3 linked regions of the Mus musculus genome follow. The protein of the gene in region 1 interacts with the protein of each later gene in a biochemical or structural test. Links are inferred from orthologs where the notes say so. Each region holds a gene or a part of one and is shown in the gene's direction. Other genes may lie near its edges.

Region 1 (7,385 bases):
TAGCAAGTGGGTCTGTGAAGGTGGAGGCCCTTCCAGTGTTCCTATGATGCCTGGCAGGATGCTGTTTTCTTTGACAAAGTTAAAGGGCCTGGATTTTGTCTCCTGTGTTGGTCAGTGAGGAAACTGTCAGCAGCCAGGCACACCCCATGTTCCTTTTGGTCTTGCTGCTATCGGGGCTAGCGGGAGGAGTCAAGCCGCGCTGACCAGCTTCCTGCTTCCCTTTGCACAATTGTCGGAAACTCTGTCAAAGTTCCTGTCTGCCCAGGTCACCGTGGAAACCGATAGAGAGAGAGGCCCTGGAGAGTCTCACCAGTGGGCTGGGGACATGGTGGGAGACAAGGAAGATAAGGTTTCCTTGCTTAGCTCCTGGAGCCAACCATGGCCATAAACAGGAAAGCTAACTGGGATTGCAAGGAGAGTCACCTGGGTTACTCGTGGCTCCCCCAAGCGGTTATCAGATTTCACTGCCCTAGTGTGAGGCTGCACCCCATGTTCCCCAAGTAGGATATGCTTGGGGTAGCCACAGTAGCTCTGTCTCAGGAGTGAGCCTGCTGTGACCTAAAGCTTCAGAATCAGCTCAAGGATTTTCCTGGAATGGGGAGCAGGCCAGGTTCCTCCAGGCTCAACCACCTGTTATAGTAGGGTCTTGTTTTGAGGTTTTCTGGTTGGGCAAGGCCCAGGCTTCATCGTGGAGCATTTGGGAGATGAGAGATGGCTTCCGGGACTACATAGATGGCTCATGGAGAAAGAGTGCTTGTGGAAACATGAAGCCTGTTTCATGAAAACAGGGTACCTCTAAATGCCCATAACCCCAACATTTGGGAGCAGAGACATCTTGAGAGCTCTCTGGCTGGCCAGCCTAGCTAAGATGGCAAAGCGTCTGATTCAGTGAGACTCTGTCTCAAAGGAATAAGATGCGGGGTTGGTAGAGGACACCTGATATCCGTCTCTCCTTCTGCATACACTCTTACACACCTGCATGCAATATACTATGCTCGTTAAAAAAAAAAAAAAAAAGTGACTTAAGAGAGAAACTTGATTCTGCTTTATCTCTAACCTCCTGTCAGTAATCGTCATTCCTCCCGGGATCAGAGTCTGGCTGGCCAATCATACAGCATCTCCTATACCTACCCCCCGCCCCCCTTTATGGAAGACCCTATGGGCCAGGCTCACTGGGTTCTATCTTCTACAAATCTTTCTTTCTAGGAGCCACGTGTGAGGTGGTGTTGGCCCCATGTGCTACCAGCCCCTGCAAAAACAGCGGGGTATGCAAGGAGTCTGAAGACTATGAGAGTTTTTCCTGTGTCTGTCCCACAGGCTGGCAAGGTGAGGCTTGCCTGGTCCCACCAGGCTGGGACAAGGATGGTGGATGGGAAGTCAGGGGCCCTGGCCAGCCTGTGGGGCAGTCTCGAGAAAGGAGCCCATCAATGCTGAGCTACCTGCTCTGGGAAGCTCTGGGAAGCTCTGGGAGCAGGAGATGGTCCTTCCCATTCCAACTCCATATCCTTCTGTTGCCCAGAGGTCAGGGGAGAAGCACTGGAGATAAACAGACCAGCTAGGACAGAGGCTCAGAGGGTGGGGGCAGGTAACCAAATGAGTTTTTGTCTTCACAGGTCAAACCTGCGAGGTTGACATCAATGAGTGTGTGAAAAGCCCATGTCGCCATGGGGCCTCCTGCCAGAACACCAATGGCAGCTACCGCTGCCTCTGCCAGGCCGGCTATACAGGTCGCAACTGTGAGAGTGACATCGATGACTGCCGCCCCAGTAAGTGGTACCCAGCTCTGTCCATCCTATGTTTCGGTGCCTCTGTTCCTAAGCACACATGACAGGGAGCTGCTGAGAGTCTGAGGTGGAAAATAGCCCTGGTGCCCGGCAGTCATGAAGGACTGTGGATAGCTGTGCCCTCAGCTTAGTCCACTTGCCTGTGCCTTAAAAAGAGACAGGCCAGAGGCTAGACAGGCCAGGAGGAGGCTGTTGAGCATCAGTGTGTGCTTCTCACGGGCTTTGCTGCTAGATTTCCCAGCCCAATTGAGTGATATGGAGCAGAGGCACCAGGCACTTCAAAATGATGGCATGGGGCCTAGTTGTATTCAACCTTGACACTCGGCCCTTGTCAGGACCCATTGAGTTGTGTAGGGCTTTAGAGATGCCCTGCATCCTGAGTCAAAGCTAAAGGCAGAGAGAGATTGAGGGAGGTTCTGCCTGGCACCATCAGTGTGTGTGTAGGGGAATGGGCTTCCCTATGACTGCCTTGGGCCTGAGGGAAAAAGTGTATGCGGAGCAGATTCCAGGCTCAGTGCTGGGATGGGCCCCTGTTGACTACTGTCATCAAGGCTTGCTGTGAGCACTTGCCACCCCATACCACCTTCTCAGCATCAGGTCCCCGAAGCATGGCCAGTGGCCACCTAAGGCTCATCTTTCTGTCCCTCCAGACCCGTGTCACAATGGGGGTTCCTGCACCGATGGCATCAACACAGCCTTCTGCGACTGCCTGCCCGGCTTCCAGGGTGCCTTCTGTGAGGAGGACATCAATGAATGTGCCAGCAATCCCTGCCAAAATGGTGCCAATTGCACTGACTGTGTGGACAGCTACACATGTACCTGCCCCGTGGGCTTCAATGGCATCCACTGCGAGAACAACACACCTGACTGTACTGAGAGGTGGGTCCCAGCCTCAGCTGAGACAGGGAAAGAAATGGACTGTGGAAGACACAAAGTCTTGACAGCATGGCATCTCAAGCTGGTGTCTTGCCCAGACCCAGTGGGCATACAGCACTAATTGAACTGAATCCAGCGTTGTTCATTATGTTGCAGTATCCCTCCTAAAGGGGCCTTTGTGACCTCCAGTGACTTAGAACAAGGAAGTTTGTGCAGAGGAATTGGGGAACTAGCCTCCTATCAAACAAGAGCTTTGTAATCTGTCTTAGTTCCCCTTTTGCCCTGGTTGCCAGGAAGCTTAGAGTTAAATCAATCTCAAGCCTGGTTTGTGATGCGCTTCCTATAGTGTTCCTATTTTGCCCTTGATTTTGTTTTTCTCAACCACCACGTGTCTATATGCTATAAAATCTCTGCTCGTGATTTGGGTATTGTGGCCAGGTAGGCATGGAGTTGTCTCTCCTGGCAAGGACCTTAGGGAACTCCTCACTCTTCCCTGCTTCTCATCTGCCTCTAGCTCCTGCTTCAATGGTGGTACCTGTGTGGATGGTATCAACTCCTTCACCTGTCTGTGTCCACCTGGCTTCACGGGCAGCTACTGTCAGTATGATGTCAATGAGTGTGATTCACGGCCCTGTCTGCACGGTGGTACCTGCCAAGACAGCTATGGTACTTATAAGTGTACCTGCCCACAGGGCTACACTGGTCTCAACTGCCAGGTGAGCTGAGGTTACAGGGTATGACCCAGAAGGCCTAGGGCTCTCCAGTGCCCATTGCCCAGCCCTGGGCCACACTACCTTCAGAGGGCCAGGGACACAGAAGCAGAGAGGCTCCCTGGTGTCATCATTGGTTGATGAGCCAGAATGAACCCACATCCTCTGGGAAAATGCCAAGTTGGGTGCTTCTGAGGGAGACAGGTGGGCATGGGTGCCAGCCAGGCTCTTCTGTGGAGTGCATTATGTGGCCATCTGTCTGAAGCAGCCTGGGGCAGTGCTCACTTCTGGTGGAGGATGTCCAAGGGGAGGTAGCCAGTGGGTTGTGGAGAGCCTTGAAAGAGAGCAAGGAAGACGTGGAGCCCAGGCCTATGTTGTTCGGAGGGCGGGCAGTGTTTGTGAGTCCTGTGCCTGGGATTTCTTAGGTGATATTCTTTCTGAGATGGTGGGGGTGGGGGTGGGGAAGTCAGAGCATAAAATGCCTTATTCCAGTGGCGCTCAGCCTGTGGGTCATGACCCCAATAGGGGTCATATATCAGATATCCTGCATATTTTTGCTACATGACAGTAGCAAAATTACAGTTATGAAGAAGCAATGAAATAATTTTATGGTTGGAGGTCACCACAACACGAGGAACTATATTAAAAGACTGCAGCATTAGGAAGGCTGAGAACTGCTGTGCTTCTCAGAGCCAGCCAGGACCAGGGCAGGAGGGTGCCCTAGCAGTCAGAGTTGGTCAGGGAGAAGCTAACCAGCGCCTGTCTCCTCAGAACCTTGTGCGCTGGTGCGACTCGGCTCCCTGCAAGAATGGTGGCAGGTGCTGGCAGACCAACACGCAGTACCACTGTGAGTGCCGCAGCGGCTGGACTGGCGTCAACTGCGACGTGCTCAGTGTGTCCTGTGAGGTGGCTGCACAGAAGCGAGGTAACCAACCGGCCGGGCCCACCTGTCCTTGCTCAGGCTCAGCTTAGGCCAGGAGTGCCCCGGTGCCTGCCAGGTCAGGTGACAATGGGCAGTAGTCCCGAGAGCTCAGCCCAGGCCTCAGCTCCTTCCCGTCTTGTCCCCACAGGCATTGACGTCACTCTCCTGTGCCAGCATGGAGGGCTCTGTGTGGATGAGGGAGATAAACATTACTGCCACTGCCAGGCAGGCTACACGGGCAGCTACTGTGAGGACGAGGTGGACGAGTGCTCACCTAACCCCTGCCAGAATGGAGCTACCTGCACTGACTATCTCGGCGGCTTTTCCTGCAAGGTGTGGGCCGTCATGGGGTGGCGGGGAGGGTATCAGCGTGAGTGTTGCTGCAGGGGAGGGCTTTTGACTGGGAGCTAGTGCATCATGGCAGACTGAGCACATACCTGTGCAGGATCCGGTCACATTACAGATGTGCTGAAGGAGGAGAACTATGCCAAGCAGTGGCTTAGGGCACCCCTTTCCTATATGGTTTCATGGTACCTAATACCTGCTCCAAGACCTCATCCCTGGGGGACCAGGTGTTGCCCCACACACACACACCTTGGACACTTATTTTAACTTACTGGGGTCTACTGGGTGGAGCCCTCGCTGCAGGGTGGGACAGTGTAGTCTAACTGGGTATATGGCCTGCATGGCAAGTGGAGGACATGATACCACAACCCCAGCTAAGCTGTGACCTGTGCCATTTCTACAGTGTGTGGCTGGCTACCATGGGTCTAACTGCTCCGAGGAGATCAACGAGTGCCTGTCCCAGCCCTGCCAGAATGGGGGTACCTGCATTGATCTGACCAACTCCTACAAGTGTTCCTGCCCCCGGGGGACACAGGGTAAGGGTAGGGACCTGGATGATGGGCAGGATCCAGCCAGAGATCACTCAGGTGATTGAGAGCTGACCACGGAATAGGAATCTCAGAAGGGAGGTGGGCTCCAGTGGCACTGTGCTGCCTCCCCCGGGCCCCAGGTCCTAACTGATTTCTGGACTGGGCTGCACAGGACAGAGCACAGTCAGCATCATCCGACGGTGTCTCTGGTCACTCTGCAGGTGTACACTGTGAGATCAATGTTGATGACTGCCATCCCCCCCTTGACCCTGCCTCCCGAAGCCCCAAGTGCTTCAACAATGGCACCTGTGTGGACCAGGTGGGTGGCTATACCTGCACCTGCCCACCAGGCTTCGTCGGGGAGCGGTGTGAGGGTGATGTCAATGAATGTCTCTCCAACCCCTGTGACCCACGTGGCACCCAGAACTGTGTGCAGCGTGTTAATGACTTCCACTGCGAGTGCCGGGCTGGCCACACTGGTGCGTGCCTTGGGCAGGTGGGTCGAACGGGTGGGTGGGCAGGGTCAACAGGGATGGCTCCTTACTGTCCCTTCTTCACACAGGACGCCGCTGTGAGTCAGTCATCAATGGCTGCAGGGGCAAACCTTGCAAGAATGGGGGTGTCTGTGCCGTGGCCTCCAACACCGCCCGTGGATTCATCTGTAGGTGCCCTGCGGTAGGTGTCCCTGGCCCTGTGCGGCTGCAAGGGTGCCAGGTCTGAGGGTGCCTGAACCCTGACCGACTCTTATGGTGGATCTGTCCTCCACCCACCCTCACTGTGAATAGTCAGCCTGAAGACCTCTAGCAGAGGCTAGGGTCCAAGCCACATGCTTCCTCGTGTCCATTCCCCAGCTCGTTTATAAAACCCGAGCGGGCACGATCCATACATGCCTTGCTCCCAGTGCTCTGCAGCCTCAGGCTGAAAGATTGCCTTGTATTTGAGGTACCTTAGGCTTCACAACAAGACCCTGTTTAAAAAGTTTATTTCCTGCTGTGCTATGTTGGGAACCTCACACATGCTGGGCAAGTGTTTTGCCACTGTGTCTTAGCCCAATTTTTTAAATAGATGTTTATTTTAGAGCGGTTTTAGGTTTGCATGAGAACTTAGCAAGAGGGCCAGGTCCCCACCCTGCAGGCCGTTCCCTATGTTTGCTGCCTTGCGTGGAAGGTGTTGAGCTGGCACTAATATGCAGTATTTGCTCTTGGGTGTTGACATCCAGGGATCTGTACACATACAATGTACCAGCATCAGCCTTGGGTTTCATGGCTCTAAAAACTCCTAGGGTTCTCCCCATTCACCTATCCCTCCAGTTTGAAGCCCTTGGCAACCCTGACCATCCTATGGTGAGATGTTTCAAGGGTCTTGTTATTGGGGCAAGGCCATAGACACCTTTCACAGGCCACAGACTGGGGCCAGGTCTTTGCTGGGGTGTGCATGGTGTCCCTGATTGAATGCACCATCCTCTCTCCACCACAGGGCTTCGAGGGTGCCACATGTGAGAATGATGCCCGCACTTGTGGCAGCTTACGCTGCCTCAACGGTGGTACATGCATCTCGGGCCCACGTAGTCCCACCTGCCTATGCCTGGGATCCTTCACCGGCCCTGAGTGCCAGTTCCCAGCCAGCAGCCCCTGTGTGGGTAGCAACCCCTGCTACAATCAGGGCACCTGTGAGCCCACATCCGAGAACCCTTTCTACCGCTGTCTATGCCCTGCCAAATTCAACGGGCTACTGTGCCACATCCTGGACTACAGCTTCACAGGTGGCGCTGGGCGCGACATTCCCCCACCGCAGATTGAGGAGGCCTGTGAGCTGCCTGAGTGCCAGGTGGATGCAGGCAATAAGGTCTGCAACCTGCAGTGTAATAATCACGCATGTGGCTGGGATGGTGGCGACTGCTCCCTCAACTTCAATGACCCCTGGAAGAACTGCACGCAGTCTCTACAGTGCTGGAAGTATTTTAGCGACGGCCACTGTGACAGCCAGTGCAACTCGGCCGGCTGCCTCTTTGATGGCTTCGACTGCCAGCTCACCGAGGGACAGTGCAAGTAAGTAAGGCTGAGTTTCTTTAGAGTCCCAGGGCTCAGGATGCTACGGGAGGACCTAACCAAACACCAGGCTCCTGAAGCCAATGTCTATCCCTGCCCATTGCGAGTCGCCAAGCACATTTCCCAGATCTGGCCTATTCAAGGTATGGGTTTGAGGTCCACAGGCTGGG
Region 2 (8,029 bases), on another chromosome or scaffold:
AACACTGAATATTCATAAATTAAAGGGAACAAATTACAGCTATACGAACCCGAACAACATATGGATTACAGTCAGGTTGAGCAAATATGGTAAGCATAACAGATTACACATTATCATTCCCTCTATAGAACATTCACAAGAAAGGGAAAAACTAAACAATGTACTGCTTAGGGAGGAACACCTGTGACAGAACAATGACGGACGCAAGGAAACGAGTACCACAAATGCCAGGGAATGTCCACTCTCCCAGAAGGGAGACTTGTTTAGGAAGGCCATTACAGGGCTTTGGAGGATTAGCAAACTCCATTTATTGGCCTGTTTGACTGCTTACATGGTAGTTTCTTTGATAATTACACCACACAATTGTCTTACATGTTTAAAGTATATTTCACAATAATGCTTAAAATGAACTGATATGCTATAGTGTGTTTTTAGAAATTTTGCCTGTTAATCTGTTATATAGTTTGACAGTAGAAACCAGTGATGTGGGATAATAAAACATTGAGTAGTTTCTCAAACAAGCTCCCTTTCTTTTTCCTTTTTTTTTTTTTTTTGACACAGGGTTTCTCTGTGTAGCTCTGGTTGTCCTGGAACTCACTCTGTAGACCAGGCTGGCCTCGAACTCAGAAATCCGCCTGCCTCTGCCTTCCGAGTGCTGGGATTAAAGGCATGCACCAACACTGTCCGTCAAGCTCCCTTTCAAGGGAAAAGTTATAAACCTTACACAGAGATCCCTTTGTCCCACTTTAACACAGTATACAGATCTTGGTGATAAACTGGTGAGTCAGGAGAAGAACTGGGTTACCTGAAATAAGTTTTTCTGACTTACTTTTCAGAAATATGATTAAACGGATATATCTCTCCTCTAGATTCACAGACAACACAAGGATCTGAAAGGATATAGAACAAACTGGAGAGGTAGGAATTTTGTCCTCTCCAGCAGCCAGTTGTAGAACAGCTGCTTGCTCCTGTTACCAGGCAGGACAGGGACGTGAATGACCTTACTCAGTAAGTTTAATTCCTGAGCAGGCTGCTCAGGGCTCTTGTGAGTGCCACTCTGACCCTCAGCGATGATCTGACACTCTGCATGGTGCACTCCTCCGAAAGCATCCTTGGCTGCACAGCTCTGACTCTGAGGTGCTCAGCTTCCCAAACCCCTATACACCTGTATTTTATTTCTTTACTTCCTACTGTAAGGAAGAGAGTTCAACAAAAGGATTAGGTTGGAGCCATGCTGGCCTACTGTTTATTAATTGATCTGATTCCCTGTGAATCTTATTGAATACAGCCTGTGAATGGATCTTGTCTGTAGACAGTCAAACCCAGGGTACTTAGGGCAAGTTATATGACTCCTGGGATTTCAGAAGGACCTGGTGCAACTTGTCTCTCCTTGCTTTTGTGGCATCCTCCTCTTCCCTTCACTCACTCTTGTTTTTGTAGCCTTTGAACAAAAATGAACCCTTGATTTATCAACATAGGCATTTTCTTGATCTACTTTGCACGAAGTGGTAGCAGCCGTGGCATAAACCTGGGCTTGCTTCTTAAATGCGGACAGAGCATGTTTGGTCCAATCTCCCAAGAAGGGTGGAGAGACCCGAAGCACTTATGATAGCCATCGCTGTAGCTTCCAGAGGGACGGGGTCCAGCCACACAACTGTTTCCCTTCATCTTTGCTGCTGCTTTAATCTCACTGTCACACCACTAAGGAGGGCAAGTAAGTTCGTAACAGATTTCTGAGCGCTGTAGTTCTTTTATCTCGAAAATTCTTTTATTAGAGAACCACAGCTTACATTTCATGAGTTTTTCCTTAAACATTTCCTAGCCCAGAATCTGTAGGACAAACGGCCCAATAGATTTATTAATAACATACTCCCCACAACACACACACACACACACACACACACACACACACACACACACGAGAGAGAGAGAGAGAGAGAGAGAGAGAGAGAGAGAGAGCGCGCGAGAGCGCTTTGAAGAAAGACCTGAGAGGCGCCAAACTCTTTTGAAGATGGTTAAGGGGCACTCTGTTGACAAAATCTAAAAAGCTCCAAAAAATCCAAACAAGCAAGAATTACTTTTAAAAGGGGGCTCGACTACATTCGCCCCTTGAAAACATAGAAATCCCCTAAATAATATCCTAGATGTTGATTCTCTTTCAGCCCTGTTCCCCAGTCCTGCCAATTCGCCTCCTTTCCCACAAAACTCTGAAGTTGCGACTCTGAAGAAACGGCATCCTTTTTCTTTCGTGGCAGGGGGCGGGTGGGGGTGAGGAGGGAGATGTAGTACAACTTGTTTCTACGCTTCAACTTACAAAACGCGTGCGCTTCCACTATCACCTCTGAGTCCCGCTATTGCTGTGCTAGAGGCATTAATTCATTCATTCACTCATCAAACCTTCGTAGTGCACTACTACACACAATGCGGCGCAAGGTTTCACCCCACGCCAAGGGAAGGGTGGGACGTTCGCTCCCGGGAGCAGGTGCAGCCACTGGCTGTAGGTTAACTTTTCCAGCCGTCTCTCGGTTCCAGGATCTGCTCCGGGCCAAAAGCCTCACCTTCGGGTGTTGCGCGCCCTAGCCCGATCCCGGGCCTCCTCATTCCCAGAGGAGCAGTCCGCACCTGCCCCGGAGGGAACGGCGACAGAGCTCCCTCTCCGCGCCGCCCTAGGGTCAGGGGTAAGATCAGGCGGTAGCTTAGGCTCGCCTGGGCTCCTCCCCTTCCTCTCTTCAGTTCTGACGCGGCCGTAGAGGCGGCGGCGGCAGCGGCGGCGGTAGCAGCAGCAGCAGCAGCAGCAGCAGCAGTCCCGCGGCCCGAGGCGCACCCACCCGCTCGCAGATCGCGACTTCCTCTTCCCTTGGTGCGTCATCAGAACGCGCCGCAGCCTCCCAGGGCGGGGTGGCTGGAGATGGGGAGAAGAGGCCCGGAGAGGAAGGCGCAGAGAGGAAGGGGAAGGGAGGGGGAGGAGAGCGGTTGCTAGGCGACTTACGTCATCGCTGGGCGCCACTCTCCTCCCGCCCCTCTGTGGAGTGAGGCGAGAGCCCCGCACAGAGCGAGAGAGAGACAGAAGCTGAGCTTCGGGCGCTGCCGCCGCCGCCGGGGAGAGCGTGAGAGCGAGTGAGTGAGCGAGCATCCGAGAGACCCGGCATCCGTGCACTGGCCGCCGCCAAGACCTTTGCCGCAGCCCGGGCCATCGGGAGCCGCGGCCGCCGTCGGCTCCCCCCCTTACATTCCCGGCCGGCAGCGGCTGCTGCACACGCCGAAGCCGGAGCCCCAGCCGGAGCCGGAGCCGGAGCCCGAGCCCGAGCCCGAGCCGGAGCCCGCGGCCGGGGGGCAGGGAGGCGGCTGCCGCGGGTCGGGACTCGTAGCTGCTCAGCCGGGAGAGGACGCCCGCGAGGGGCTGGGCTTTCTGCCTCGTCCCGGACTGTGGGACGAAGGACCCCCCGAGGTGTAGGGAGGGGGTCCCGGCCGCCGCGACACATGCGGGAGCCGGGAGCGGGGGCGGCGCCGATCCGAGCCCGCCGGGTCCCCAGCCTTGCCGCTGTCCACACCAGCCGCCCGGGGCCGTAGCATCCCATAGCGGAGTGTATGAACCCCGGCCCCCAGCCCAGGAGCCACCTCCGGGCCGGGGGGGCGGGGACCCCGATGTGAAACGGCCGCGGCGGCGTGGTGAGCGGCCCCGGCGCCGCTGTCCTCTCCTTCCCCTCCCCTCCCCTCCACCCCCTCTGGGGGGGCTTCTCTTTGGGCCTGCCGCCGCACCCCGGCTCCTCGGCGGGACTCCAGGAGTTCTCGGCGCCCCCTCCCCGCCCCAGCCCCCCAGGGCGGTGGGGCCGGGGGGGAACCTGGGGGGCCGGCTGCAGCCTCCGCCCAGAGGAAACTTTACCCAAACAAAATCTTCGAGCTTTCTGATCGTGACTGTCCCGGGACAAGTGGCCCAGGACGGGCTGAAGCCACCACAGTCTGCAGGGACCCAGGAAGAGAAAAAGCGGTGAGCGAGCGGGGCCGCCACCGCCGCCTCTATCCCAGCAGCGCGGAAGAGACCCGGGTAGCTGCTTGGTGGAGCGACGCTAGCACCGCTTCTTCCTCAGTTCCGCGCCTAGCCAGCCTTCCGCAGCTGCCCGCCTCAGCCCGAAGGAGGAAGGGAGCCAGCCACATTGTCAGCGCCACCGCTCGACTCTGAAGCGTGAGTGGACCCGGGGGAGGGGGACATTATAAGGTGACAAGTGGGAGCGGGTGGGTGCTTTGATGCTGGAGTTCGGCTGTTCCTCGGGAGGGTTGGCAGTGGAAACCTTTCCTTTCTACCAATAGGAGAAAGTGTCAGTTTGCAGGAGTAATGCAAGTACTCGGAGTTTTTTCTTAGAGCAGCTGTGTCTCCAGAGTGGACACTTGCACCTTTTTGGACACTAAACTGAGAAAGCCTATGGCCAGCTCTGTCCCATGCCTTTTCCTGGCAACCTTATTCTGGCAGTGGTTTTTGTTTCAGGGAAACTCCCATGGATTCCCACGTGGGAATCACTTGAATCAACCCTTAATTTTTTTTTTTCCTTTCCTAACTATTGTTTTTGAAGTTGCCTTGGATGGGAAGACCAGATTTCATTTTAGTGCATAGGGGAGTTTGGTGCCCCCAACGCTTTATTTCCCAGGTCTACAGAGTCCGATGTGTAGGGTGCTTGCATGTTTCAGTTGGCTCAGGAAAATCCGAGTTCCTAAGATGCACAACCCACTGAAACTTATTTCAGGGAGAGCACTTAATAAATTACCATTTCGTAAAAGTTGCTGCAGCGCTCTCTCTCTCTCTCTCTCTCTCTCTCTCTCTCTCTCTGTGTTGAGGGAGAGAGGGAGTAATATGTTTTAAGTGGTAGCACATTTTTACTAGGTTTCTACTAGGGACTGGAAGGGCATGCATGCAGCTGTTTTTATTTGGCTCTACTTGTCGACCTTGAGACTTTATACTCTTTTAGGAAAACATTTAGCACTCTGAGTGTTAAATTAGAGGTATAGAAAAGTAATGCTCACATATGTAGGTTAAGCTGACCATCCTAAGGCTTAACGTACTGTAGGATTTCATGTAGCAAGGAACATAGGTAGTAGTTTAAGACTGGAATTCTGGTCTATCCAGACAGCTAAATGTGGGCAGAATAAAGATGCTCTGTAGAAATGACTAGAAACTTGGGAGTATCAATTTATCTACCCATCCATCCATCTTAATTTCTCCATTGAGGGTCATGATTAAATTTGTTTGAAAGTTTTTCACATTTCATGTTTGGGACCTGTTCTCCCCTCCTCTTTTTAAATAATGAACCTCCAAGTTTATCATTCTGCATTATATAGCAATGTATTTCTCTTTGACCAGCCTTCTCAATCTTTCAGGATACAGTTTGTTTGAGGAATGCTAAAACACTGTGAATTTACCTTACCTTGCTTTTATAGATTTTGTTTAATCTCTACTATCATCTGTCCCAACTTTTCTTTTCTTCAAGACTGTTTTTCTATGTTACCTTGGCTGTCCTGGAACTATCTCTGTATATCAGGCTGGCCTAGTGTTCACAGATATGCACCTGCCTCTGCCTCCTGAGTGCTGACTGGGATTAAAAGGTATGTGCCCTGACTGCCAGCCACGTCACAGCTTTTTTGAGTAGCTCCCTCCCCCAACCCTCATTTCTTTGGATAACTTTGCCCTCTTTTTGGATCTCCTAGCCTTTTTTTTTTTTTTTTTTTTTTGTTAGATACTTTGTTCTTCATATGATTTCATGAGACACTTTAAATTTTGCTTAAGTGGGAATTAGTATGAAAATATTGAATGGTAAATTTAACTTTAGATTTAGAATAAAACGTGTTTTTGGATCTGCTAACCTTACTTTGCTACCCTGATAAAGTCATATATTCCAGTTTTGAAAAAGATGATATTTGAGAAACTTAGACTTTAATAGTTTGCTTCTTGGAAAGGAGGAGAGTGGTACTTTGAGTTTGTACTGCATCTAATCAGAGGACCTGCTTTGTGTGTAAATTGGTTTTAAATTATGGAAGTACTTTACTGAATGTAGTAATAACAAGACATTTGCTATTTTCAGTCTTTTGAGGGTGACAGAGACAACCAACTACAAATTGCACAAAACTTTAGGAAAGGTTGAACTGGTGGGAAGGCTCTGTGGGTAAAGCTGCTTGTTGCAAGTCTAAGGACGTGGAGTCTGTCTAATGCCCAGAACCACAGGTGGACAGAGAAACTAACCATACAGAGTTGTTCTCTGACCTGTGTCGTATGTGTGGACATGTGGTGGTAGTACAGTTGTAGTAGTAGTAGCAGTAGTAGTAGCAGTAGTAGTAGCAGTAGTAGTAGTAGTAGTAGTAGTAGTAGTAGTAGTAGTGTAGTAGCAGTAAAAAGAAATACATTTCTTAAAAATGTAGGAAAGGGGACATATATTACCATTATTACTCATAAGATCACTCTGTGTCAGGGAATGCAGTTGCACATTTTTATTAGGGAAATACTGATTTTGGATGACCCAGGAATAATTGGAGTGTCTGAGCCAAATCTTGGAAAGGCTCTTTCAGGAAGAAAAGAACATACACAAACAAAATGTTAAGGGCTTAGCGTCAGAATAAGTAAAAGATGAGATCTAATTAGGAAGTTAGCTTGGTAGGAATGCCTACTGAGGGAGGGAAGTTCCTGACTAGAGTTAAGGTCAGTTTGTGCTTGTATAAGAGAATTTGAAAACAGTGTTCCAAAGAAGGTAGTTTCAGGATATTGGGAGAAATTATATTTTAGGACAGACATTATACTGGCTTTAGGATTTTGTTTCATTAGGAGACTAACATTTTTATATTATGGTCATCTAGGGGGCAGCACAGAAGGAGACACGAAAAAGGAAATGTTTTGAATGTTTTTTAGCATGATGCTAGTTTCTTATGAGTAAATCAGAAACAGGGTAGCAGGCTTTGCTTTGGATGTTGAATTTGGGGTTAAGAGCTAGGTATCTGTACAGTTCATGTGTTAGCTCATTGTTTTTCTTTTCCTCCCTCTCTCTTTAAAACTTTTTCCACTTTCTTTCTCTTCTTTTGTCTCTGTCTCTTGTGCCAGGCTGACCTTGAACTTGTTGTGTACCTTTTAACTTGTAACCACCCTGCTTGGACTTCCTGAATGCTAAATGTACTAGTGTGTGCTGCCATTTCTTGTTTTGTAGTGCTGGGGATGGAACCTAGGCCTTTGTGCATGCTAGGCGGGTACTTTACCAACTGAGCTACATCCTTAGGACCTACCCCGTGCAGCTTTCAAGACTGCAAAATAGTTTGAGTAATATGCTGACAGTGTAGGTAGATGGGAGTCATTTTTAAGCCTTTATATTTCTGAGATTACTGATACGAAATTAAGAGCTGAAAAATGAATTTAAAATTTTGGGACCTGAAGCAGATTTGTGTTGGTATAAGCACAGCTATCAAAAGGAGAGACAGTCCCCAGAAGATCAGCTTCGCAGGTGAGTGGGAATGACAGTTGGAAAGAGGAGCAGTCTGTAACATAATGACCATTCAGTCCCAGGACATGGGATTCTGTTTTAGAAGTAGTTAAAGGTTTTCAATAGCACATTTAGATCCTGAGATAGATAAGTTCAGAAAACATAGGACCTTGTTAGGGAACTTATAAATAAAATGGAAGGCCATTACAGTTTCCCTGCATTTTATAATTTTTTTCCCCGAGACAGGGTTTCTCTGTGTAGCCCTGGCTGTCCTGGAACTCACTCTGTAGACCAGACTGGCCTCGAACTCAGAAATACGCCTGCCTCTGCCTCCTGAGTGCTGGGATTAAAGGTGTGCGCCACCACTGCCTGGCTCATTATTATAATCTTAAGCTTGGTCTTAATACTAATGAAGTGGGGCTAAACATTGATGAAAGGGAAGGCTGTTTCTCTTACTTCAGAAATGTGCATCTTTGTGTCCCTACAATGTGTGTTTAGGGGGGACATCCCTGTGTTGGTACAGAAGTATTAGGGATACTTTTTTGTATAAACTTAAAAAGAGCCTACAATTTAGGAAT
Region 3 (7,996 bases), on another chromosome or scaffold:
AGTGCAGGGATTAAAGGTGTGCACCACCATGCCCGGTTTACTTTTTATTCTTATACCCTACCATCTGTCACTGATTTTGGTTCCTAAAACCTAACTCAGATTGTGACTGCTTATGGGAAATACCGGCTTGAGGGTTTCTCTATTATTATAGAGTCACTTAAAGTCAAGAAAGTAGTCTTACTAATTTCTGCACTAGTTTTAACAATAGGGCTAGATCGCACACAATAAGCTTCCAGCTTTCATTAAACCGCATATGTTGAGGTGAAGGCGAGGTCTTTAGGCATGAGAGAAAAGGGGGTGATTTAAGTTATACGTGAAGCAACATCAGTTGCCCATAGTGAATTTGAATGGAAGGACACAAACTAAAAAGTACAAATGGGGAAAATCATACTGATGGGGTGATGGTTTGTCTTATTTTTAAAAGAATGATAGCAAGAATAAGAGAGCACAGTTGAACCATGCTGTTTAGGGAATATTTTCAGTGATTGGAGGAAGTAGAAGAAGCCCTTGAGAGTCAACAGATTGATGAAGTTAACCTAGAGGAATACTGGGATAGAGTCTAGGGAGGAAAGGAGTGTATAAAAGAGATAAGAGTTGTGGCATCAACCTTTTACAGAGCAGTTAAGGGGTATAAAAGGTTTTCTGGGGCCGGGCAGTGGTGGCGTACGCCTTTAATCCCAGCACTTGGGAGGCAGAGGCAGGTGGATTTCTGAGTTCGAAGCCAGCCTGGTCTACAGAGTGAGTTCCAGGACAGCCCGGGCTACACAGAAAAACCCTGTCTCGAAAAAACAAAACAAAACAAAAAAAGGTTTTCTGGGGACAGTGTAGGATCACTTGCCACCAAGCCTGATGACCTCAGGCATTCACATGTTGATAAATGCAGGTGTGACTATGTGTGCAAACACACACACACACATGCATATGTATTATCTTTGCAAATTGTAGTATAATGGAACTTTAAAAAGAATTAGCTTATAGAACAAAATAATTCTCTTTTCCTAAATTTTTCATGACAGGCTTTCTCTGTATAGCCCTTACTGTCCTGGAAGTCACTATGTAGACCAGGCTGAGCTCAAACTCACAGAGATTTACCTGCCTCTGTCTCCCAATGCTGGAATTAAAGGTGTGTGTTACTACACCTAGCTATCTCAATTCTTATACTTAAAAATATATTTATCGCCTATGTTCAACTAGGACCTTTGTCCTTAGGCCAGTAATAGTTATTAAGAGGTAACAAACAAGATAACATAATTACATACTTTTACCTTGCAAATTTATTTTAGGACTGTTTTGTCATTACTATTTAAATCGCCCTAGTTGGAAAACCTTTTCCTTAAACTTCTTACATGGAAATCTGATAAAATAGTTCTATGAATATGTGACGGGAACCTGAAGCCTTTCCTAAGAGTTGTGTCCAATCCTTCAGACTCATTAACTTTCCCCCCTAAACAAGCAATGGCTGCTAGGCCTTTCCACTGCAGTCCTGTGGTTACTTAAAGCATAAGTCAGGAATCGTGGCAGAAATGCTGATGGCAAACCATTTGAGTACTAAAAGTGGTAAGATATTAACACCAATTTTTTGGATATTTTCACCGTGTTATTTAGCAACCAAAAATGCTACAATAATACATCTGTGCCAGAGAGTGAATAGAGTCTGCCAGTACCCTAGTCTAGACAGTGGGGTAATCCTCCTTTGTCAGTGGGCTTTGACATCTCTAGTCTTTTCCAGCTCTGATCATTTCGTAGTGTCTTCTACCTACAAAGTAGTCTCAGCGTTATGGGGGGTTGGTTGTTTGTTTCTTCAAAATTACAGTATGTCATACAAGGACAGACAGGCACCACATTAGAATTCAGGGATGGGTGCTGTTTAAACAAGTAGGATACAGCTCACTATTAAGGAACTAGAAAATGTGCCAGTTTCTAATGTACAGTAATAAAAGTCAGCAAAACACTTAAATGGAACCACGTGAAAGTAGAAGGACCGAGGTCAAGTAAAGACTTCTCAGAACAACAACAGTGAGTGTTTTGTTAAATGCTGGCGTCTCTTGAGCTTGCACTGAACATGAGTAGACTTTTACAGGAGGCAAACTGAAATAGTTTCTTTCCATGTAGAGAGAGGCACTGAAAACAGCCTGCCTGTAGGGGACTGTAAGTAGATTAATGGAGCTGGAACTTAACATGTGAATGGGGGCTGGTAAGAGACCGCATAAGACTGTGTTTGCTGGGGCTGGTGAGATGGCTCAGGGGTTAAGAGCACCGGCTGCTCTTCCAAAGGTCCTGAGTTCAAATCCCAGCAAGCACATGGTGGCTCACAACCATCCGTAACAAGATTGGATGCCTCTTCTGGAGTGTCTAAGACAGCTACAGTGTACTGACATATAATAAATAAATAAATTTAAAAAAAAAGACTGTGTTTGCCATGCTGAGCATTTACACTTTGAAGGTGATATGAGCCAATTAGAGGATTTTAAAGTAGAGTAGTTGTACAGTCAGATTGATGTTTTAGAAAACAGTAGTCAGACCAGATTAGAATGAAATGGGCCTTTATTTGAAGCAGTCTAAGTAATGGCCTTTTGCAATAAGTTAAACAAAAAAGTCTCAAAATAGTTGATTTGAACACTGGCCACATACAGGCCTGTCTACCTGAGAGGCTTAGAAAAGAGGATCAAGAGTTCAAGGCCAGTCCCAGCAACAAGAGTTCCCTTTTGAAACATTAGCTGCTTTAGGTAACATTATTTCTGACCCTCACAGTGACCCTGAGAATTAACAGTTACTACCATATCTGACAGACATATAAACTAAGGATTAGAACTTTCCGTTTACTTGCATCAGTCACATCACCATCTCTGGCAGCACAGCATTCACTCAGGTCTGTCTCATTGTAAAGCTTACAGGGTGCCCCAGTTACTACATAAGCTAGATTGTGACCCAAACCTCAGGCATGCATGGTTTATTAATCGTGAGTGTTGGTTGAACAGCATTCATTCAGTAAGTATATGTGAGCAACTCCTCTACTGATCAGTTCCAGGAAGGCAGGCATAAACAGGGAACAGGACAGTATCCTGTCCTTGCAGACTTTACCTCACTGGGAATAGGTAGGTAATGTAAACAAAGACATGTTTTAGTTTGAGACAGTAATTAAGCAAAGGTACCACAAAGAAAAATCAGGGATTTGGGGGAGGTGGCTTTGCCTTTGGGTTCCATCCCCACCAGGTTCCATGAGGAGTGAGCAGAGAGGAAGAGAGAAAAGTGACAGGAAAGGCTCCAAGACACAGAGTGCTTGCCTGCCTGGGATGTGCGGGGCTGTAGTTTTAATCGCTTGCCCTACAGACTAGAAAAAGAGTGACTGTTCACCCAAGCACCATGAGCTCTCCTGGCTCTTACCTAATATCCATCAAATCAGGAAGACTTGAATCTTTCTTTTGTCTACCAGTAGTAATAAAGATAGCTACAAATGAAGGGGGTGGGGAAGAGTCTGAGAATGAATGAATCATGGGACAAAGGGCATGGAGTGAATTAGATATTAAAGAGGTAACATTGGTAGATAAGGCCACAGGAAGAAAGAATGGGGAGTTGGGCATGTAACTAACTCAGTTGGCAAAATGTGTGCCTGGCAGGCACAAAATATTAGTTCAGTCCTTAGCACCAAACTGAGGCACAGTAGGGCATGGCTGTAATCCCGGCATTTGAGAGGTATCAAGCAGGTGAGAAGTTAAACGCCGCCCTTGTTGGGGCAGTTGTCATTGGAGGGGACTGTAGTTGTCTTTAAAAAGCGGACTGAGAGCAGTTTTAGACTCACTGTCACTCCGAGAGGAAGTATGCTAACATACTAAGCTATAACCCTCGTGTGGGCCCTCAGGGTTTGGGGTGGGTTTTGTACTAAAATGGTCATCTGAAGTTTGTGTAAGAAGTAACTTTGGTATTTCTTCACTGTGTCTTCAGGTTGTAAAAGTTAACATGAACAAACTACGGCAAAGCTTCAGGAGAAAGAAAGACGTTTATGTCCCAGAGGCCAGCCGTCCACATCAGTGGCAGACAGATGAAGAAGGAGTCCGCACTGGAAAGTGTAGCTTCCCAGTTAAGGTAAAACACACATTGTTGTGTCTGGCCAGTAGATCACAACCTGGGTTCTAGCCTGGAAAGGCATTTTGGAAACCTGGAAGAGAAGAGGGGCTGGGCTTCGGGAGATAAGGAAGGAACCCAGACAAAGCTCTCTGCTCAAGGTTCAATTTTTACTATTTCGGCACTCAGTTATAAAGGAAGGGGGAGGGGCCCAATTCCCGCCAAATAATCCAGTAGCAGGGTGATCACGTGATGCCTTCAGAACAGCAAAGCGGCAGGTTCCAGCAGTAGGCGTGGCAGAAAGATTGAGCGGGAAGCTCCACCCCTGAGCAAGCAGGTTTCAGGCTGGGGGAGGGGAGACTATAACACATATCTTTGTGGTTCTCTGTGGGGAAATAAACAAAAACATAAAAGCAAACCAAACAAAAAACTGATAGCCCATAGAATATGTAATCCTATGACTCACGCTAGTGAAGGAGCCTTCCAAAATCGTATTCTGCTTCAGTGATGGAATTAAATAAGAAAAAAATACATTGTGCAGTTAGTGATTTTTCTTTTTGTGTTTAAGTTATTTAAATAAGGCTGTGTGCTACATAATCTGGAACAAGTATAAGTGAGAACAGTTTGTGTGTGGGTTGGTGGGACTCCTAGGAGCTCACTATGGGCCTTGAGTGTGCTTGGCAAGCCCACTACCACTGGGCTACATCCCTGCCTTCTTTTTACTTCCTTGAGAAGGGATCTCACTAAGTTATCTAGGCTGTCCTTGAACTTACTCTGTAGCCCTTAGGTAGGCTTTGAACTTGTGATCGTCCTTCCTCAGCTCCTGAGTAAGTGAGGTTTCCCAGAAGCCTCCACTCTCAGGTCTGGCCAAGTAAGAACACTTCTAATGAGAACATAAGTCCTGAGACGTCTACAGATCCTCAGTTACCAAGAATTAAATCATTTTCAGTGAGGTAGGGGTTTATTTCCAGCACTCTCCAACAAAAGAAAAGTCAAAAGAAGCGCCTCTCCTCCCCACTCCCATTCAGGGCTAACTGGCTTGTTTGCTGCTTCTTCTATTTTTTTCTGAATATTTATTATTTATATGTAAGCACACTGTAGCTGTCTTCAGACACACTAGTAGAGGGGGTCAGATGTCATTACAGATGGTTGTGAGCCACCATGTGGTTGCTGAGATTTGAACTCAGGACCTTCGGAAGAACAGTCAGTGCTCTTAACTGCTGAGCCAGCTCTCCAGCCCTGTTTGCTTCTTCTTGTCTTCACTTTTAAACTCTTCCCACCATTAGTTCTGCTCTTGTCTTCTGTACTTATAATTTCTTGTTCCATCAATGCTAGATGATTATCTTGATGTTCCATCATAAAAAAAAGAAATACTTTCACTTATTTTCAAATTTATATCAGATATTTTTACTTCATTTTCTTTACATGTTTCACGTTTTATTTCATTTTCTTCACATATGTTTTCTTCACTAATGTTTACATTCTCTTCTATAAATAGTAATTATATCTCCTATATATTGAGCTTGTTCTAAAAGTTTTCATTATTAATTAGGCATTAAATTTAATGCCAATCTAAGGAATATCCTACAGTTTCTTCTCTTTGATATTATTGATTCATTGATATGTTTGACAGATAATTGCTGAATGTCTGCTGTCTACCAAGTATTGTTCTAGGAACCAGGAGTGCAGTGAGCAGCACAGACAGGATCTCTACCTAGTGTTGTTCATGGTAGTGTATGCGAGAGTGTGAGAAAACAATATCTGCTATACCAGAAAGGAATTGTGGATGAAAGAAATAAATGGGGTTGATACGGTTTAAAATATTTTGGTTATGGAAGTCCTCATTAGGGGGCAAAATGTCATTTCAGAAAACACCCAAAGAAATTCAGAAAATAAGCATTTCAGGTATTGAAGGAAACAGAATGTAGCCAAGGGAGCAACAGTGGAGTGGCTCTTCAGCAAGAGGCACCTGGCATAGTAAGGGGCACAGAGAAAACCACCTTGTATAGAACCAGAGGAGCAGGGAGCCATGAAAGCAGGTAGGTAGAAGGTAGATTCAGTAGTTCAGTACTTTCAAATAATATCACACCTACTAGCTGCATTTTTTGATACAATACTCTTTATAAATTCTAAATTACTATTTATATTCAATTATGTATATGAAGAAGTAAATTTTGCTAAAATTTGTATCTAGCATGTACAGTCTTCTCTCTTTTTTTTTAGATTTATTTATTATATTTATATGAGTACACTGTTGCTGGGATTTGAACTCAGGACCTCTGGAAGAGCAGTTAGTGCTCTTAACCGCTGAGCCATCTCTCCAGCCCCTCCCCCCTTTTTTTTAATCTTTTTTTTTTTAACAGTCTTCTCTTGATTGACTTAGTTATATTTGTGTGAAAGTCACTGCATGTGTGCATATTTAAAATAGAATTAGAGTCAGTAAAAGATACTCTGAGTAAGCTTTTTCTATATTACAAGTGCCCAATATTAGATGTGTCATATATTCATTCTTGGGCCCTTGCCTACTAGCTAGAAGTATTGTTCCTACAAATGATCTCATTACCGTCCTTAAACACTGAAAAATTATTTGCCTAGAACATTTTGGGGGTGGAAGTTGGGAGATACAGAGTCTTGCTACATAGATCAGGATAACCTCTACTAGCAAGCCCAATTCCATCTTAAGGATTTTGACTTTTATATTTAGATGAGATGAGAAACCATTAAAGAGTTGAGCAGACATAGCATCATGGGACTTCTGCTCTCGAAGGCACATAAAACAAACAAAAATATAATACAAAAATCAGAAAACCAGAAAAACAGGCAAACCAGAATTTGGAGCTTGAGATGTTTCAAAGGTTATAAGCACTTACTGCTCTCACAGAGGACCTTCCTGCCTCTGCTTCCCAAGTGTTCATATTTTATAGTCATATACTACAGGTGAGTACCACTACTTTATATTCTAGAAATCAACTAACTGTACATTCTTGGAATCTCAATTTGATAAATGCTTATCATGACTAAGGAGTTTTGAAGGCATAGCTAAATTCTGTATGCTAATATCTTGTTCAAAAAGTTCATGTCACTGTTTTGAGATATTTTGCCTGTTCATTTTTTTCCTTATATTTTTGACAGATTTTAATTTAATAAAGTAAGCCTGGGCAGAGATAGTTGGCACAAGCTTGTGATCCCAGCATCTGTGAAATAGAGGCAGGGAGGGTAGGACTTGAAGGTCATCCTTGGCAACTTCCTGTCTCATAAAACCAAACAAGCAAACAAACGTGGGGTATCACTTGGGCAGGGCTCTCTACTTGTGGTTTCCTCCTGTTCCCAGGATGTACTTTCTAGGTGTTTCATCTGAGAGTATGGGGTGCTCAGTAGACCATATTTCTCTCGTGTAGTTCCTGAATCCCTTACTGAAGTGAAAATGCCAAAAACTCACCTTGCTTATTAACAAGTTTTGTTTTAATTGTTTATTTTAGAGGGTTTATCTTTTAGCTTTTATCTCCCCCTGAAACACAAACACACACACACACACACACACACACACACACACACACACACAAACACACACACTTACCTTCACTGGTAAGGTGGACTGTTACCTGAACATACAAAATAGTTTGTTATCATTTTGGGGTAACATCAGCCGTTGGTGATCATTGACTGGGTTTATTATTATTAATTCTTCAAATTTCAAGAAGGCCAGGCTGTAGTGGTGCACAGCTTTAATCCCAGCAATTGGGAGGCAGAGGCAGGTTTATCTCTGTGAGTTGGAGGCCAGCCTGGTCTACAGAGTGATTTACAAGACAGCCAGGGCTACACAGAGAAACCCTGTCTCAAAAGAACAGAGAGAGAGATAGAGAGAGAGAGAGAGAGAGAGAGAGAGAGAGAGAGAGAGAGAGAGAGAGAGAGAGAATATGAATGAATATGAATG

The links. The genes of interacting proteins can lie anywhere in the genome.
Region 2: the proteins of Notch1 (region 1) and Fbxw7 form a complex in vitro, tested with the Homo sapiens proteins (2 studies listed by BioGRID and IntAct, with this or other methods). The link is inferred for Mus musculus from reciprocal best matches to the Homo sapiens genes NOTCH1 and FBXW7.
Region 3: the proteins of Notch1 (region 1) and Numb form a complex in vitro, tested with the Homo sapiens proteins (2 studies listed by BioGRID). The link is inferred for Mus musculus from reciprocal best matches to the Homo sapiens genes NOTCH1 and NUMB.

The regions. Positions count from the first base shown.
Region 1 is NC_000068.7:26,468,062-26,475,446, reverse strand, and holds part of Notch1 (neurogenic locus notch homolog protein 1 precursor), read left to right. Parts: intron 1-1,206; coding exon 1,207-1,326; intron 1,327-1,613; coding exon 1,614-1,766; intron 1,767-2,434; coding exon 2,435-2,663; intron 2,664-3,174; coding exon 3,175-3,376; intron 3,377-4,141; coding exon 4,142-4,295; intron 4,296-4,440; coding exon 4,441-4,625; intron 4,626-5,040; coding exon 5,041-5,173; intron 5,174-5,327; exon of another isoform or gene 5,328-5,388; coding exon 5,389-5,646; intron 5,647-5,729; coding exon 5,730-5,842; intron 5,843-6,643; coding exon 6,644-7,215; intron 7,216-7,385. UniProt on the Homo sapiens protein: Functions as a receptor for membrane-bound ligands Jagged-1 (JAG1), Jagged-2 (JAG2) and Delta-1 (DLL1) to regulate cell-fate determination.
Region 2 is NC_000069.6:84,811,587-84,819,615, forward strand, and holds the start of Fbxw7 (F-box/WD repeat-containing protein 7), read left to right. Parts: upstream 1-3,990; 5' UTR 3,991-4,183; intron 4,184-8,029. UniProt on the Homo sapiens protein: Substrate recognition component of a SCF (SKP1-CUL1-F-box protein) E3 ubiquitin-protein ligase complex which mediates the ubiquitination and subsequent proteasomal degradation of target proteins.
Region 3 is NC_000078.6:83,838,305-83,846,300, reverse strand, and holds the start of Numb (protein numb homolog), read left to right. Parts: upstream 1-3,957; coding exon 3,958-4,083; intron 4,084-4,377; exon of another isoform or gene 4,378-4,447; intron 4,448-7,996. UniProt on the Homo sapiens protein: Regulates clathrin-mediated receptor endocytosis. Plays a role in the process of neurogenesis.